Ovis aries: one gene and its partners. The protein of the gene in region 1 purifies or fractionates together with the protein of each later gene. This does not show direct contact. Links are inferred from orthologs where the notes say so. Each region holds a gene or a part of one and is shown on either strand. Other genes may lie near its edges.

What was found.
Region 2: the proteins of MEX3C (region 1) and AP2A1 purify together in Homo sapiens (affinity purification with mass spectrometry; 3 studies listed by BioGRID, with this or other methods). This does not show direct contact. The link is inferred for Ovis aries from reciprocal best matches to the Homo sapiens genes MEX3C and AP2A1.
Region 3: the proteins of MEX3C (region 1) and MYCBP2 purify together in Homo sapiens (affinity purification with mass spectrometry; 3 studies listed by BioGRID and IntAct, with this or other methods). This does not show direct contact. The link is inferred for Ovis aries from reciprocal best matches to the Homo sapiens genes MEX3C and MYCBP2.

The regions. Positions count from the first base shown.
Region 1 is NC_056076.1:50,965,068-50,970,706, reverse strand, and holds the end of MEX3C (RNA-binding E3 ubiquitin-protein ligase MEX3C), read left to right. Parts: intron 1-1,323; coding exon 1,324-2,549; 3' UTR 2,550-4,363; downstream 4,364-5,639. UniProt on the Homo sapiens protein: E3 ubiquitin ligase responsible for the post-transcriptional regulation of common HLA-A allotypes. Binds to the 3' UTR of HLA-A2 mRNA, and regulates its levels by promoting mRNA decay.
Region 2 is NC_056067.1:55,869,812-55,875,405, forward strand, and holds the start of AP2A1 (AP-2 complex subunit alpha-1), read left to right. Parts: upstream 1-1,596; 5' UTR 1,597-1,714; coding exon 1,715-1,781; intron 1,782-5,594.
Region 3 is NC_056063.1:53,028,262-53,034,093, reverse strand, and holds the start of MYCBP2 (E3 ubiquitin-protein ligase MYCBP2), read left to right. Parts: upstream 1-1,834; 5' UTR 1,835-2,148; coding exon 2,149-2,447; intron 2,448-5,832. UniProt on the Homo sapiens protein: Atypical E3 ubiquitin-protein ligase which specifically mediates ubiquitination of threonine and serine residues on target proteins, instead of ubiquitinating lysine residues.

The DNA.
Region 1 (5,639 bases):
TCTGGCATCTTAAGTTACTGTTCGAAACCCTCCAGTGTTACACAGTTGGCACTGGTAATGGCTGATTACTCCAAAAAGTAATCTTTGGGTAGTTATACATATGTATCTCAGATATTTTATTTATTTAACTTAAATATACTTAGGATTTAGAACCAAAGCCTTTTATTTGAGAATGGGACTGCCAGCCATTATAGTCCTTCAATAAAACCACACCCAATGACCATACTCCATACAATTTCCAATATGTTTCTTTTGAATTTAGCAAGAACTTCACAATGAACACAGAATTACTCTGGGTCAGTTTTTTTACCCCAAGATTTTACAGTTGTCTCACCCATAGTTCAACAGCATCTTTTTTTTTCTTTAAGTACTCATCATTATTGAAATTTTTAAAAATAATCAATTTTGATACAAATTCCATGTCTTGTATTTATATATCACTGCTTTATGTAATTATTAATTTAGTTAATGCATGAGTTCAGTTAGCATAAACAGATGGGGATAAAGACAACTCATTCTTAGTTAAGCCTGAAATCCAACTGATGGAACAGAAATGAGATGATGTGCTAACTTTGAGCACTTTGCTATTGTCATCAATTGAGTTTTACAGAGGAGAGAATGATGTTGAAGTAAAATGACGAGACAGTTAAGTGGAAGTCAGTTGGAGAACTTCTATCATCAGTATAGTTCTGTGGAATTTGAGGTTCTAGGACCAATAACAAAGACTATAGACTATGAAGTCAGACTAGGTTTAACGGTGGCTCTGCCTCTTACTTGCTGAGTGAACTCAGGCATGTTACACAATATTTCTGCGCTTTATTTTCCTTAGCAATAAAAGGAGTGTAACAGTCTCATCCTTAGGGTTGTTATGTAGATTAAATAAGATGATAGGTATCGTCTCACATTGTACATTAATATTTTTTCTTTGCCACCAACACCCTGCAAGGTAGTAAACTATTAGTGTTCTGAAAGTCAAATCCACTCATAGTGTAGCTGGCCTATTTCATGCATCATTCGCAATGACTAATAACAAGAGGAGGAAAACTATAAGCCTGTCCTCTGAGTTAAAGGCCTTCAGTGGAGGCGTCTCCTCTTTGCTGAGAATGAGAGGTCACAGGAAAGTACCCTCAGGACCCAGGAGTCATAGTGGAACTAGGAAAGCTTTATCAGCATTTAGTGATAAGAAATACGCTCAGACTTAAAGAGGGACGGAAAAACTGCCCCAAACCAGACTGTTATCCTGAAAGGAGCTTTCTGTAATTTGTCTTTTTCAATATTGTTGAAGTAGATGTTGATACTTAAAAAATATTTTCTTTCTAACAGGTTGTAAAATTAAAGCGCTGAGAGCCAAGACGAACACGTATATCAAAACACCAGTTCGTGGTGAAGAGCCCATTTTTGTTGTCACTGGACGGAAAGAAGATGTTGCCATGGCCAAACGAGAAATCCTGTCAGCTGCAGAGCACTTCTCCATGATTCGTGCATCTCGAAACAAAAATGGCCCTGCCCTGGGCGGGCTGTCCTGCAGCCCTAATCTGCCGGGTCAGACCACCGTTCAAGTCCGAGTGCCCTATCGTGTCGTAGGGCTGGTGGTCGGACCCAAAGGAGCAACCATTAAAAGAATCCAGCAGCAGACCCACACGTACATAGTGACTCCGAGCAGGGACAAGGAGCCCGTCTTTGAAGTGACAGGGATGCCCGAGAATGTTGACCGAGCCCGAGAAGAGATTGAGATGCATATTGCCATGCGCACAGGAAACTACATTGAGCTCAACGAAGAGAATGACTTCCATTACAACGGTACCGATGTCAGCTTTGAAGGTGGCACTCTGGGCTCTGCGTGGCTCTCCTCCAATCCCGTTCCTCCTAGCCGCGCCAGAATGATCTCCAATTATCGAAATGATAGTTCCAGTTCCCTGGGAAGCGGTTCCACAGATTCCTACTTTGGAAGCAATAGGCTGGCTGACTTTAGTCCAACAAGCCCATTTAGCACAGGAAACTTTTGGTTTGGAGATACACTACCTTCTGTAGGCTCAGAAGACCTTGCGGTTGATTCTCCTGCCTTTGACTCTCTACCAACATCCGCTCAAACTATCTGGACTCCGTTTGAACCAGTTAACCCACTCTCTGGCTTTGGGAGTGATCCTCCTGGTAACATGAAGACTCAGCGTAGAGGAAGTCAGCCATCTACTCCTCGTCTGTCTCCTACCTTTCCTGAGAGCATTGAACACCCACTTGCTCGGAGGGTTAGGAGCGACCCACCTAGTACAGGCAACCATGCTGGCCTTCCAATATACATCCCTGCTTTTTCTAATGGTACCAATAGTTACTCCTCTTCCAACGGTGGTTCCACCTCTAGCTCACCTCCAGAATCAAGACGAAAGCACGACTGTGTGATTTGCTTTGAGAATGAAGTTATTGCTGCCCTAGTTCCATGTGGCCACAACCTCTTCTGCATGGAATGTGCCAACAAGATCTGTGAAAAGAGAACGCCATCATGTCCAGTTTGCCAGACAGCTGTTACTCAGGCAATCCAAATTCACTCTTAACTATATATATATACATAAATACTATATCTCTATATGGACTCGTAAAGGCATGGGTATAATGGTACCCCCAGTAAACTTCCTAATGAATTCTTATGACTGTTATCAGGCTTTATTGGGATTAGGCTAAAGTTGTTAGTAAACTTATAAAAGGCTGCTATGGTAACACTAAACCTAAGTGGTCTCTTGTCTTAGTTTGGTTTGAATTATTAATCTTATCCTGTAGACCCAGAGACATAGCTTGTGTAAGAATTGCTAAAGCTGATGTTCAACTCGGCTGAGTGAAGATAATCATAGGTTATGTGAACCTATGAGAAAAGTGTATACGTCTAAGATTTCCAAATGATGGGTCCCAAAGCCTAACCACATTAAGAGTTTATGGAGGGTACGCGGCATTACAGATGACTCAGACACTTCCAGGGCTGCCTTCTTTACACTGCCAGTTTTGACAAAACAGGTCCGTTTGTTTTTTATTTTACAACAACTTATGCCTAATTCTGCAGGATTGCAAGTAACTTTTTAATGCATTGTGGTTACTTATTGGTAATAATAGGGCTGATGGCAGTTTACTCTATCACTGGTTATAATTTGGGACAAAAACTGCTACATTGACCTTCATCTCGCCCAGAGTGCTCCCGGCTGGTCTGATCAGTGGAGCAGGAATGCAGTTGTATCGATCGTGAATTCCTACCCATTGCCTCCCTCGGTGAATGTGGAAATGGCCACCTGGGTTTTTCCATTCCAGGAAAGGCTTTGGGGTGCACCTGCATTGGCTAATAATTGAGGATACGAACATTCCATTCATTAGTCTGATCAAGCTATTGATTAATTTTTAGACTATAGATCAAAATGTGAAACATTTTATGTTCAATCCATATTTGTCTTGCACATTATAAATGTATTTTTATTTTTTAGTAATTTAGGGGAGGGGGAGGGAGAGTGGGGTAACAATGCCCTTAGCATATTTACAGAAGCAGCTGTGACGACCTCCAATCAGTTTACTTCATTTCAAAACTTGTTTCCAATCACAAGGAAAGATTTCTTTAAGATACACTTTTTACATTTCACCTGTGGATGTCTGTGACTTTTCATCCTCAGTATGTTCCCAAATCTGCTGGCATTGAATGGATAAAACATTATACTGGTGGGTTTTTCTACTAATTATTTTTTGAAGCGTTATTTTCCCAACAAAAAAGAGCTTTTTTTCTCAGTATAACAAAAATTGAAATCCTATGTGTATTGAATAGTAAATAGACAAATTTTATTTTTTATTTCCACTTGAAGAGTTACATTTCGTATAAAAGTTTACAAATAACGGTTTTTATTTTGATTTTTTCAGTATAAAAAATTGCCTTGATGGCATATTATGATGTAATGCTAATTGCTTGTAGAATAGTTAAATGTCAGTATTGAAACCTAATCTTTAGCTGCCGTCTTGTAGATACAAACGAATGTTCACCAAGCATGTATTTTGTATTTTGTTGCATTGTACACTGCAACTAATAAGCCAAGGAATCGACATATATTAGGTGCGTGTACTGTTTCTAAAAACCACAAACTAAGAATGATAAATTATCAATATAGTTTAGTATTTGCTAATTTTACTACACTCTTTTGTTATGTATATGTAGGGAAGTCATAGGGATTATAAATTCAATTTGAGTAAAGTTTAAAACCATATATTTTATGATAAAGGGCCTTTAACTTAAGATGGCCAAAGCACTGATATTATATATTTGCTGTAAAGAGAATTATAAGAGTTTTATTTTTCTGATATTAAAAGTTACTTAATAAAGACTTGTTTCCATTAACTTGAATGTATTCTCCTTGGTGTTTTTCATGTATTCCTTAGTTTACGCTGGAAGACTGCTACTTGCCAGAATTGAAAACGTCCTTTAACAAGAGTTTCTCCTCTCCCTAGCCAGTGATCCATGTTCTAGGTGTGGAATGTGTTGTAGCGTCTTTCTTTGAATAAGTGTCACATTATAATAAATCTAGAGATTTGGCGAGTTTTAGATTATATAGTTGCATGTTTATATAGTTGACCACATAATCACTGTTAATCTAATATGCATAAAATAGTGATTTATACATATTAATGTTAACTAACGTCCTGAACTCAACTTAGACTTAGTTTTTATCCTTTGTTACAGATTGTCCTTTTATCACCAAAACTATAAAACAAATTTTTTCTAGTATGAAGGTGCAAGTTTTTAACTTTTAATTCTGAAGTACCTTCTGAAAGACTTTGTGGTTGATTAAAAATATATATATATATTGCTCCATTAATGAAAATGACTTTGCTGACTAGAATAAATTGTTGCTTTTTGGTAAAAAGCAAGAATAAAGACACTTCTGGATTGTTTTACTGAAACCAAAATTCTGTCCTTAGTACTTAGGGGTATTACACAGCCATAGGAAATCTTTCCATCATAAGTTTTGAACAAATTCTCAGGCTGTGCTAGATAACTCTGGAATGTATAGATTTGGTGATGGGCAGGATCATTGCCCTGTGGAATTATTTCACTCATTTTAGGATTAGCCTCCAGAAGTATGAAAGTCAGATTATTTGACTATGTTGTAGTTTTACAATTCCAGCATAGACTGAGAGGTGAATATGAATTTTAACTTGCACATAGTATAAGGTCAAGATCTTTCAGAGGACCTTGAAAATAATCTCCAAGGCTTTCCTTGCCAAAACTTTGTCTGAAATTAATATCAGCAAAATTGATAAACACTTTTCCAAGGTCTCCGTCTGAACCTGCCTTCCCTCATAAGCCTACATCCATTTTCTTGTTCAAGGAAGTACCAGGAGAGGGCCTCCATGGACCCTGTGGACCAGTGTTAGCAGAGAATTGTTGCACCATACTGGATAATCTGCAGTGTGGATAATCAAGGATTAGACAAACCTGTTGAAAACTTGACATTATTTGTTTACACGGCCTTAGAGGCTAGATGCGAAGCTGCAAATGTGAGGATCAGATAACAGCTTAGTTATAATGTTATGTGACTCTTTCTATAAAGGAATTTATCAAAGTGTCCACTTGCAAAATAGGTTTTTAGCAAGAGTGAGAAAGGCTAGAAGAGTTAGGT
Region 2 (5,594 bases), on another chromosome or scaffold:
TTGAGATTATCTTCCATAAAAAGGAGTTTTTCCAACTCCTATTGGTCCTAATAGTTTGTTGTTATTGTTGTTTATGGGGCCATTCTATATAGTCTTCAGGGGCAGACAGCCTCCCCCAACACCAGAGATGTTTGTCCTCCTAGAATCCAGAATAGACTTTCCCAAGCCCCATCCCTGGAAACCCAAATGGACGAATCCATTGAACCTGGAAGATGGGCTCTTCTGCCCCGTCCCCATCTCCCCCAGGGGATCTTCCCGGACCCGTGACACTCCTAAGGCTCAATCCAAGCATACTAGATTTCTGATATTGGAAAAGCCTGACTGGGGACTTAGTTCCTCTAGGTGCTAGAATGGACTCTTCCAGTTCCCTTTGCCTCAAATTTCTCAATAGCCCGGGGCGTTGGGGTTTCTGAGGTTTTGCCTTCCCCAAATACAGTCTAACGAGAACGTCTCAAGCGGTGTTGGTTGGGCCAAACAAAGCGGGCTCACCGACCGCTTTCCTTATGCAACGTTCTTCATTCATTACCGGGTCCCCTTCTTGTTCAGGAAGAACTCAAAGTCTGGTGGAAAGACTCGCAATTTGTACTTGATATCTATTTAATGGTGTTACAGTTGCAACAACAAAGCCATTGTATATGAGAAAGTAGTTAAATGTTAGAATATAGTTTAATCCTCCCGAGCTCTGTGACCTTGGGCATGTCATTCAACCTCTCTGGACGTCAGTTTTAACCTCTGCTTAATGGGAGTAGACTCGAATTACTGTTTCTTCAGCTCTGGGATACTAGGCTTCCGGGCAAGTTAGATCCCAACATCTCGGCGGCTAGAGAAGAGAAAGGAAGAAGGGAGGGGGAGGAGGTAGGGACGGCTCCCAGGAAGAAGATTTAAGGAGTCCGGAGGTGGCGGAGAGGAGGGGAAAAAAAAAAAAAAGGGAACAGAAAGACGCTTGCGCAGTAAGCACCTCACGCTCTCCCGCCCCTCCCAACTCCTTCTCTGCAGCAGGGAATTGCAGGAGCCGCTCCACCTATCCCAGCCCAGGCGAGTAACGACCCCCCTTTCTCCTTCCTTCTCTACGGATCGTAGCCCTCCTCCTTTGCCCCAGACACCGGCCCAATCGAAGGCGGGCGTAGGACTGGCTCGGCGAATCCGCGACGCCCGCGGGGGCGATCTACCCGCCCATTGGCCTCAGTAAACGTGAGTCCCGCCTCTGCAAGTCCACGCCCCCTCCGTCCTTCGCGTCCGTCCCTCCCTCCTGGGAGAGCCCCCGGATCCAATCGGTCCCTCACCCGGCCGAGCGGAGGGGGCGGTTCCACTGTACGTCACGAACTCCGCCCGTCGCTCAGGCAACGCCCCCACCCCCTCCACTCGCGAGCGGAAATAGCGGGGCGCTGGACCAATCGGAGCCGCACGCCTTTGTCCAGCGACCAATGAGACAGGCGGAGGGGCCGAGCCTGTGTCTGAGCGCCAGTAATTGCAGCCTATAGGCGGCCCCGAGAGCGCAGGCTGGCGGAGGCGAGGGGAGGGGCCTGGGGCGGAGCCGCGGCCTGCCCGCCCGCCCGCCCGCCAGCCCGCCCTCCCCGCCCGCCCGCCCCCCGCCCCGGCCGGCTCGGCTTCTCAGCGCTGCCTGGGGTCCTTTCCTCCCGGTTCCCCCCCGCCTGCCAGCCCCCGCCGTGCGGTGCCCTGCCCGGCCAGGCCTGGAGCCGACGCCACCGCCATCATGCCGGCCGTGTCCAAGGGCGATGGGATGCGGGGGCTCGCCGTGTTCATCTCCGACATCCGGAACTGTGAGAGCGCGGTCGGGGGAGATCGGGCAAAGGGGAGAGCGTGAAATTGAAGGGTTCGGGGGGGCGTTACAGAGGGGCCCAAGGATTAGAAATCCATTGCGGCCCTAGAGTGAGAGGCGAGAGAGGCCACCGGAGGGGGGAACTTAAGGGTGGGTTCGGGGGAATGGAGGGGGTTAGGGTGTCATAGTGTGCTTCTCGAGGTGACAACGCGGAGTGGTTAGAGGCATCGCGGAGGGTCTTAATAGAGGAGACTAGTAAAGTCCCGGGAACAGGGCATAGAGGTGTCCCCTGGGAGTGGAAGGAACGCTGGGGGATCATATTAGCGGTAGGGTTAGAGAGATCCCTGTTGTAGATAAAAAAGGAAGAAGGTGCATGGGTGGGAGGGTGGGTGGGGGTACCCTGTGGAGAGGTAGAATAGGAGGAGGCCAGAGAGAACTGGGAGGACGCGAAACACAGGAAACCTAAAAGGAATCGGGCTTGAGGGCCTGGGCGAGGGGGTGTCATAGAGGCCAAGGGGCTAGACAGGTCATGGAGGCGCTCAGCTGGTTCATAGAGAGGACTTGAGAATGATAGAAAGTCCCAGGGATTTGGGGAGGAGAGATGGGAACAAGGGAGACTCTCTGGGACCTTGGTGAGGCACAGAGGGGCTCCTGGATGGAGGATTGCTTAGGAGATGTGGCGGGCAGTGAAGAAGGGGCTAGAGGGGTTACTGAGGGGAGCACGGAGAAGCGCTGCAGATGGAGAGTCTTGGGAGAACCTGAAACAGGGAGCTGGGGGGCCTGGAAAGGAGAGGTCATTATCATGTGGGGACTTGGGGGAAGTGCCAGAAGGGAGAGAGCTCAGATCTCAAAGAAGGGGCCTGGGGGGCCTTAGACATCCATGGGGAAGAGATCTGGAAAGCTGGTGGGCATGGGGGGAAGCCTGGTTCCAGAGGGGTCATGGGTCGGGGAGCAGGACAGCCCTGAATCTGGAGCCCTCTCCCCTCTGACCACATCAACATGGGGACAGCCCTCACCAGCAGGAAGAATGGTCGTGACTATGGGAGGCCTGGCGCCAAGTCAGCTCCCAGCTCTTGGGAGCGGGTGTTGGTGTTTGGAGCTGCCAAGAGCTTCAGAAGCTGTATCCGCACAGGCTCCGGGGTCAGCCAGGCTTCGGTTTGAGTTTGACTGCTCCCATCCCCTTGCCTTGTGACCTTGAATGAGGGACTTCACCTCTCGGTTTCCTCATCTGTCAGGAGGGACTGCTGATGGCATCTTCCTGATGGGGTTGTGATGATAACCGAATGTGAGTGAGGCGTTTCACACATTCCAGGCACAAGGTGTCTTGGCTCCTGTTTTTGTAACTTGGCCGAATCTGAGGAGCGGCCTCTGCAAGTGCCCAGTGATGATTTTAGAATTTAGCAGGTATGGGATGATCTGGCACATAGTAGGTGCTCAGTGAGCAAGAAGGGTGGAAACTTGGGTACCAAGTGGCAGAGGGAGGTTATGTTTGTTAGGAAAGGGGTGGAGCATTGAGGGGTTGTGGGTTGTGGTGGAGGGCAGGTGTTAGAAGAAGGTGTGCACTGCCTCTGACACCTACCTTGTGACCCTTGGCAAGTCATTCAACCTCTTGAAGGCTCCATTTTCTTGTCAGCTGACTCCATTGACCAGAACATCTTGCCTCTGAAGGTTCATTCATTCGTTCTCACTTGACAAATGCGTTTTGATCAATCCAGTGTGCCAGACACTTCTAGGGACGAGGGCTACCACAGTGAACAGAAATCCCTGCCCCTTGGAGCACTCGTGCCAGGAGGGAGATTAAATTATAAACACAGAGAACTACAGATGATGACTAGTGCTGTGAAGAAAAATAAGGACAGGAAGAGGGGGAAGGGAACAGGATTGAGAAGGGGCAAGTGGTACAGATTTTGGAGGCAAGAGGGGTCCAGGCAGCGGAATGGTGTGTTCAAAGGTCCTGAGGTTGTAGCACACTTGGTGAGGATTCAGATAAGAGCGAGGGGGCTTGTGGGCTTGTGTGGTTGGAGCCAAGCAAGGGAGGGTGGGAGAGGTGGGAGATTTGGGCAGAGAAGAGACAGGGAGCAGGTAGGGCTTTGTGGGCCATGGGGAGCACCTTGGCCTTTCTCTGAAGCGAGAGTGGCAGGAAGGTTTTGAGCATGGGAGGGATGGGACCTAACTGATGTTTTAAAATAGTTCCTCTGGCTGCTGGATAGAGAGTAGACCCAAGGAGGTAGGAATGGAAGCAGGGAAAGAATTAGGGGGCTGTTGCAGGCATCCCCGCGCGAGATGGTGATTTACTCGACTGGGGTGGGAAGGAATCCCTGAGAAGTGTTTGGGTTAGAGATAGATCTTGGAGGATCTCCAAAGGGATTGGATGGTGGGGGTGGGGAAGGAAAGAGAAAACAAGTGGGTGTCACTGCTGGACCCCAGAGGGAAGCCAGAGGATGGAGGAGATACTCTGACTTGGGGGCAGTGGAGGTCGTTTAGCTGAAAGAATCAGGACTGGAGGATCAGGGTGCCGCTTGTCCTTGGTTTTCTCATCGAGTGTATGTTTCATGGCTGGTATGTTTCAAACCTTATCGTGGGTGCTGGGAACACAGTGGTAGATAGGACAGACTTGTCTGTTCCCCCATGAACCTCCCGGCCCCAGAGGGAGACAGGAACTGCATAAAAATTGCAGCTGTCCATCTCCCAAACACTTGTATATGGATGTTCGTACAGCATCGTTGATGATCCATAGCCAGAGAGCACAAACAAACCCAGATGCCCACCAGCAGATGGATGGAAAAACACAGTGTGGACGCCCACACGATGGAATGTTATTCAGCCATCAAAAAGAATGAAAGACTGTGGAGGTCACAGCATGAGTGAACCTCGAAAACATCATTTTGAGGGAAAGAAGCCAGACATAAGAGGCTACATATTGTAGGATTCCATGATACGAAACGTGCAGAAGCAGCAAATCCAGAGAATCAGAAAGTGGTTGAGTGACTGCCTAGGGCGAGGGGTGGTGGAATGTGGAGTGACTTCTAATGAGAACAGGGTTTCTTTAGGGGGTAATGAGAATGTGCTGGAGTTAGATGGTGGTGGTAGATGGACAGTGCTTTGGATCTACTAAAGAAACCCTGATTGGCACTGCCGAGTGGTGAGCTGTGTGCTGTGTGAATCGTAGCTCCATTTTTCTTTGACTGAAGTACAGTTGATGTATAATATTGTGTTAGTTTCAGGGGTACAGCAAAGTGATTCGGTTATACATACATGTATTTTGTTCCCATAGTCTCTTCCACTGTGGTTGAATATAGTTCCCTGTGCTATACAGCAAATCCTCTTATTTCACGTATGCCACTGTTTGATGATACATTAAATTTATTTTCTTTATGTAGCATAAAGTCAGATCTAAATATATTACAGAGCATTCAGGGAGGTATATCTTGTTGCCCCCTCAGAAAGTCATGTGAAATTTACTTTCAGAATTGATGTCGACTTGTTTAAAAGCCCTATCTTGGCTCCTTTCCTATTCTCATCAAAAATTTTGTATTTTTTATTTGTTTGGCTGCACTGGGTCTTGGTTGCAGCATGGGGAATCTAGTTCCCCAAACAGGGATTGAACCCAGGCCCTTTGCGTTGGGAGCTGGGAGTTTTAGCCACTAGACCACCACGGAAGTCCCCCACTTGTTTTTTTAAGTGGGGAAAAAAAAAGATTGTAGCTGTCCTAAGTCCAGTGAGGGAGAGGGCCACGGTGTTGGGAGAACAGGAGCTGTCTTACTGCATTCCCCAGACAATGTGGAGGAGTTAGCCAGGCCAGAGGAAGGGGAGG
Region 3 (5,832 bases), on another chromosome or scaffold:
GGGAGAGGGGAGCAGGGAGCAGGGACGGGCAGTTTAACACAGGTGGGTAACCATGGTGGAGCATCAGCACAGGAAATTTCACCCGATAAATAACTGCTGGATATCTACCATAGGCAAGGTTCTAGACCAGGTGCTGAGGAAGACATCAAGATAAACAAAAAGCCGTGAAGGAGCTTATAAGATAGCTGAGGCAACAAGATAAATACAAAATCTGTACAACAGAGCTACACACACGAGGAAAATACTATGATTTCCCCTGCCTGTCCTTTGTCCCATGGCTTTATTATTCCACTTCTACTTATCTTTTTATAATCAAAATGATATCCATTTATTATTCAAAGCCCCAGATAAAAAGGAATCCTTCAGCACTGTCTCCCCATAAAAACTAGAATTATTTTAATTTCTCCACTACTTGTTTGTACTTCTCCAAACAGTAAACAGGGCTTGATTTTTTTTTTCCTGCTAAAGAACATTCAAAGAGGCTTAAGAGCCAGTAAGTACATAAAAGATATGTGTGCTTATGTGCTCAGTCATATCCGAATCTTTGTGACCCTTTGGACTGTAGCCCACCAGGCTGCTCTGTCCATGGGATGTCCATGGAGTGGGTTGCCATTTCCTTCTCCATGGGGTTTTCGGGTTCCAGGGATTGACCCTGCTTCTCCTGTGTCTCCCGTTGAGAGGGAGACTGGGGGGGTGGGGGGTGGGGGGGGGATGTGTGCACAGGGATGACCCAGAGGGATGGTATGGGGAGGGAGGTGGGAGGGGGGTTCAGGATGGGGAACACATGTACACCCATGGTGGATTCATGTCAATGTATGGCAAAACCAATTCAATATTGTAAAATAATTAGCCTCCAATTAAATAAATTTATATAAAAAAACAAAAGGATAAAATTTAATAGGAATCAGGGTACTTCGGCACATATATTTCTAGAGCATTTACTTTGAAGAAGTTAGTAGAGTAACTGGGAAGAGGGGACTCAGCAAATATTACATTTATAGATAACACTGATAAGATCTTTGGTAGATATGACATTTGCTTAATTACACAGTCTGTCACAACTGTAGTTTCAGGTAATATACAAGAATTATCTTTAGTGATGTAAATGTGGGCTGAGAAAGATGAGTCATGAAGTATCCACTGTCAAGAGATGAGTGCCCCCTCCTCTTAGGGTGAATGTGGAGTTAAAGAATATTTGAGAGAAGCACTACTGCATTAAGTCTTAGCTCGGATATAAATGTTAAGAACAAGAACTTGGGAAAGACTTTGGCTTGTGAATCCTCTCCTACCTGGGAGCTATAATTTCACAGGAAAAAAAAAAAAAAGAGGGTACACCAAATTACTACCTGCCTTCGGTAAGTAAAAGCTATTTTTAACAGACTTAAATCCTAATGACAAATAACCCCAAACGAAGACCACCAAAGGTACTTCTAATTCGGCTGGCCTCCTTTGCCTTGAATTCTGAGTTCAACTAGCACATTCACAGTAAATCTTCCCGCTGGCAGCGCACGCTTTGGGGAAAGGGAACAGGAATACAGAACGATCATCCTCCCGCGGCGGGCACCGGCTCTCTCTTTCAGATTCCAGTTCTCCCACCTGGATGGAACCCAGGTACCTGAAGCCGCCTGGATGGAGCTGACAGCTTCCCCAGCACTTTCCTGACTCTTCCTCAAGCCGCTAGTAAAACCCGGAGAAGTGGACTTTTTCCCGATCCCGCACGCCACCCCGGTCCCACACCCAGTGCCCGGAGGCGGAGGCAGTGGCGGCGGAGAGGGGGTGGGGCGGGAACGGGGGGCCGGAGGGACTGAGCGTGCGCGAGGAGTGGCGCATGCCCAGAGCGGCCGGCCGCTTCCCATTGCGGGTGGCTCCGGCGGTGGCAGCGGAGGCGGCGGCGGGTGCAGCGGCGGCACCGCCTCCTCCTAACACTCCCGGGGTGGCGGGGTTAGATGAGCGGCCCCAGTAGTGGCGAGGGCGGCGCGGGGGGGAGGAGGAGAAGAAGGAGGAGAAGGAGGAGGTCGCTGTCTTTGTAGTCTCAGCTGCTGCGGGAGCGAGAGGCCGCCGCCGGAGCCGTCGTCGTTGGAAAAGGGCTGTGTGTGCGCGCGCGTGTCTGCCTGCCCGGCCCGCGGGGACGAGGCGGCGGCGAGGAGGATGATGTGCGCAGCTACCGCCTCTCCCGCCGCCGCCTCCTCGGGGCCCGGCGGAGACGGATTCTTCCCGGCCGCTACCATCTCTTCCTCCCCGGCGCCGGGGGCGCTGTTCATGCCGCTTCCCGAGGGCTCCTTGGCGGCCGCGGGGCTGGGGCTGGGGTTGCCGGCCCCGGACTCCCGGGGTCACTACCAGCTGCTCCTGTCAGGCCGGGCCCTGGCCGACCGCTACCGGAGGATTTACACAGCTGCGCTCAGTGACAGGGACCAGGGGGGCAGCAGCGCTGGACACCCGGCCTCCAGGTGCGTCTCCGGGTGCCCTTCTTTGCGCCACATGCTGCATGTGCGCCCGTGTGTGTGTGTGTGTGTGTGTGTGTGTGTGTGTGTGTGTGTGTGTCAGTGACAGTGTGTGTGTCTGTCTACATACGTGTTTATCGAGCTGTCTTTCAGCCAGCACTAGATGCTAAGTGGTAGAAGCACTTACTGAGAAAGGAGGGTGCGGTGGCAGCAGTTTCTCCTCTTTTAAGTGTGTGTGACTGTCTTTGTTGGGGGGCGAGGGAGGGTGGAAACGGGGAGCGTGCGATGCTAGAAAAGGTGATGGTGCGGGTCGGTTAGGACACGTGTCTGTGTATTGTTGAAGCAGGAGGAGGGCTGAGCGGAGGGTCATGCACGAAGAGAATTTGCAGGAGCGATGAGGGAACTGGCGTGTCCAGTGTCTTTGCCGCAATGGTATTTGCACGTATTTCTCACCCCCTCCCCTCCCCCCATTCCCTCAGGACATTCCATCCTCACCTTTCCTCCTCCCTTAAAAAAAAAATCTGCCTTTCACTAGGGGAAGCAATGGTATCGGTTAAGGATAATGTCATATATATAGGATGAGTTTAGGATAAGACAGGGGATTTCAGTTTACGAGATAGATGCGAAAGGGATACAGATGGAGGTTTTCCCTGGATGTGAAAGGTGTCTGATACAGATTTCTAGAGCTGTACTTTGATAACTAGAGCTTTGGGTCCTCTGGAGACAGGGTTACAGCAGCTCTCGTGGTCTGTTGTCCCATCGGCCATTTCCCTTCATCTTCTGTTCTATTTCCTCAGTTACTTTTCTGCCTTAGACTAGAGGGGGTTTTGTGGGGGAAAAGGGGAAACCTGGAAAACTCCAAAAGGTGACAGCTGGTGTAGTGATCAACTGCCACCAACTAGAACGTTTGAGCAGCTCCTAGAATTTCAAGACTCGGTGCACCTACAGCTCCCTTGGTGGAGGAGATGTGAAATCACTTTCATTTTCTTTTTCTTAAAATGTAGGTGTCTCTTTGCTTAAGTCTCTGCTATTGTTTTCCTGCCCATGCCTTTACATGCCACATACCTTGAAGCATGGTGACTGACTTGTTTCACCAGCTTGGCTTTGGCAGTGATAATTGGGAGCTGGCTTCGTCTTTTTTCCCCCCCTCACACCTTCTTGCAGTACATAAGGAAAGCATAGGAGGATTTTTGCTGAACAAGTTAGAGAGTTCACTGTAGGTTTTGAATGTGCAGTTTGTTCGGTAATAACCAGATGTCATTTTCTCTCATATGAGAGGGGCTAGGCTGTGAGTCAGGTATTTGTGGTTGACCAGTGTGGACTGTGGCTCCTGTCCACTGCAGAGAGGTAAACATTTCTTCTGGTCTATATTCTTGTTTATAGGACGGGGACTTTAGTTTTATCATACTGATATAAATGTATATAACTAACTACCCTTGGCTATCTAAATTAAAGGCCACAATGTCACAAGTCTGTTTCTTGCTAATGTTTTTGAAAATAGCACAAAACCTCAATGGACAGTTTGCTGTAATAATTAGGTGTAATTTTGAGCTGTGAGTCTTTTAATTATGGCACTGTAGGTGTATCTTTACAAACCCCTTTTAAAGAATTTGAATTTATTTCATATGCTGTTTCCAGACTTATGCAATAATTTGTGACTGGCATGTTCCCTGTTTTAGCTTTCTACTACTGTATTCGTGCAGTAATACTGTTTCTGTGTATTTAGAACTGTATAAACAGTTTTAGGCAAAATTAATACAGATTAACCACATATATAAAGTGTATGAATGATTTTTAGTCTTTGGTTTATTTTTGTACAAGCTGTCAGTTAAAATTAGTGAAGGATTAGTTTACGTACTATATTTCAAGAAGTACTCGTGAAACAAGCTTTAAGTTGTATGATATTGCCTTCCAGTGCTTGTTCAGAACATTATTTTAGTTCACATTATTTTTTCTAAGTCATTGCCGGCAACTACTCTTTATTGAGGATTTGCTGAAGAATTAAGTCACATTTCATATTAAATACTAATGGGGAAAGTGGAGCTGGAATTTAGGTTCTGAATGAATGATGTAATTATTGGTATGGGGCACTAGTTGAGATAGAGGAAAAGGTGAAATGTTTCAGAGACAGAATGGAGCAAGAATAGAAGATGAAGTTCTAGTGAAAATCAGGTTTAAAAGTGTGAGAGAAGGACGACAGTGAAGTAAGGTCAAAAAAGATTTTAAAAAATTAAGAGAACTGTGGCACAGCAGCACCTCTGGTTGGACTGGAAAGTCCTCAGCAGGGTTAAATGTTGAAGAAAGTGAGAATACTATCCAGGCCACTGGTGACTTTTGAGGAAGTGGTCAAGATGTGTTTGTAAGAGAGGTGTGGTTAAGGAGTCCATGGGATACTTTAGGGTAATAGGGGGATGTAGGGCTGAGGGAAGGTTATTTGAGTGTGGGAGAGTAGGTGGGAAATGTTCAGTAAGTGGAGGAGGAGAAATTAAAGAAGTGAGAGAGGGGATAATCCTTGGGGGGAAGTCTAAGGGAGATCTCAGGGACAGATTAACATGACAGGTGAAGAGGTTAGCCACTAAAAATGTTAGGAGCTAGTCATCCTTTAATATAGAATTGGAGGAGGTACATATTTATAAATCTAAAGACCAGGAGTTTATGAAGAACTGTATCTTTTTTATTTTGGTAATCCTAATGTGTAGCAGAAGTTTTGGCGTCTGTTCTGTAGATATCCAGTACCTGCTTTGTGCCAGGGATTGTTTGAGGTGCTGAAGATGTAGCAGTGAGCAAGACAGACAAGGTCTCTATCCTCCTTGGAATTTTCACTCAAGGAGGGAGAAATAAGCAACTGATCATTTTAGGTTGTGATAAATAGCCGTGGAGGAAATAAAACCGATTTCATGTGACGGACAATTTGTAGTTGAAGGTGATATATTAGGTAGGGTGATCAGGACGGGTCAGGGTTAGTTGACATTTAAGTTGAGTCATAATGATTGGAAGGCAGACCTAGAGGAATAATGTTTTAGGAAAGTACAAAGTCTCTGGTGCAGAAACAAGGTTGTATTCAAGGAACAAAACAGTCAGCGTTATCAGTCAGTGTTGAATATATTAGTTACTGAGGATTATGTTTTAGGTGTAGATACAGAACTTGAGGGACAGAAGCCTAATGGCATCACTGACTTTGATGGCATTCTAATGAATGCTTGGATTCTGAATCTAGACTGGTTTTAGATCCTGGCTTTGCTACTTTTTAGCTGTGTGACCTTGGGCATATTACATAACTTCTGTGCCTCTGTTTTTTGCTTAAAAATATTTTTGAGATATAATTGGCATATAACATGGTGTTAGTTGTAGGCGTACAACATAATCATTCCGTATTTTGAGGAATGATTAC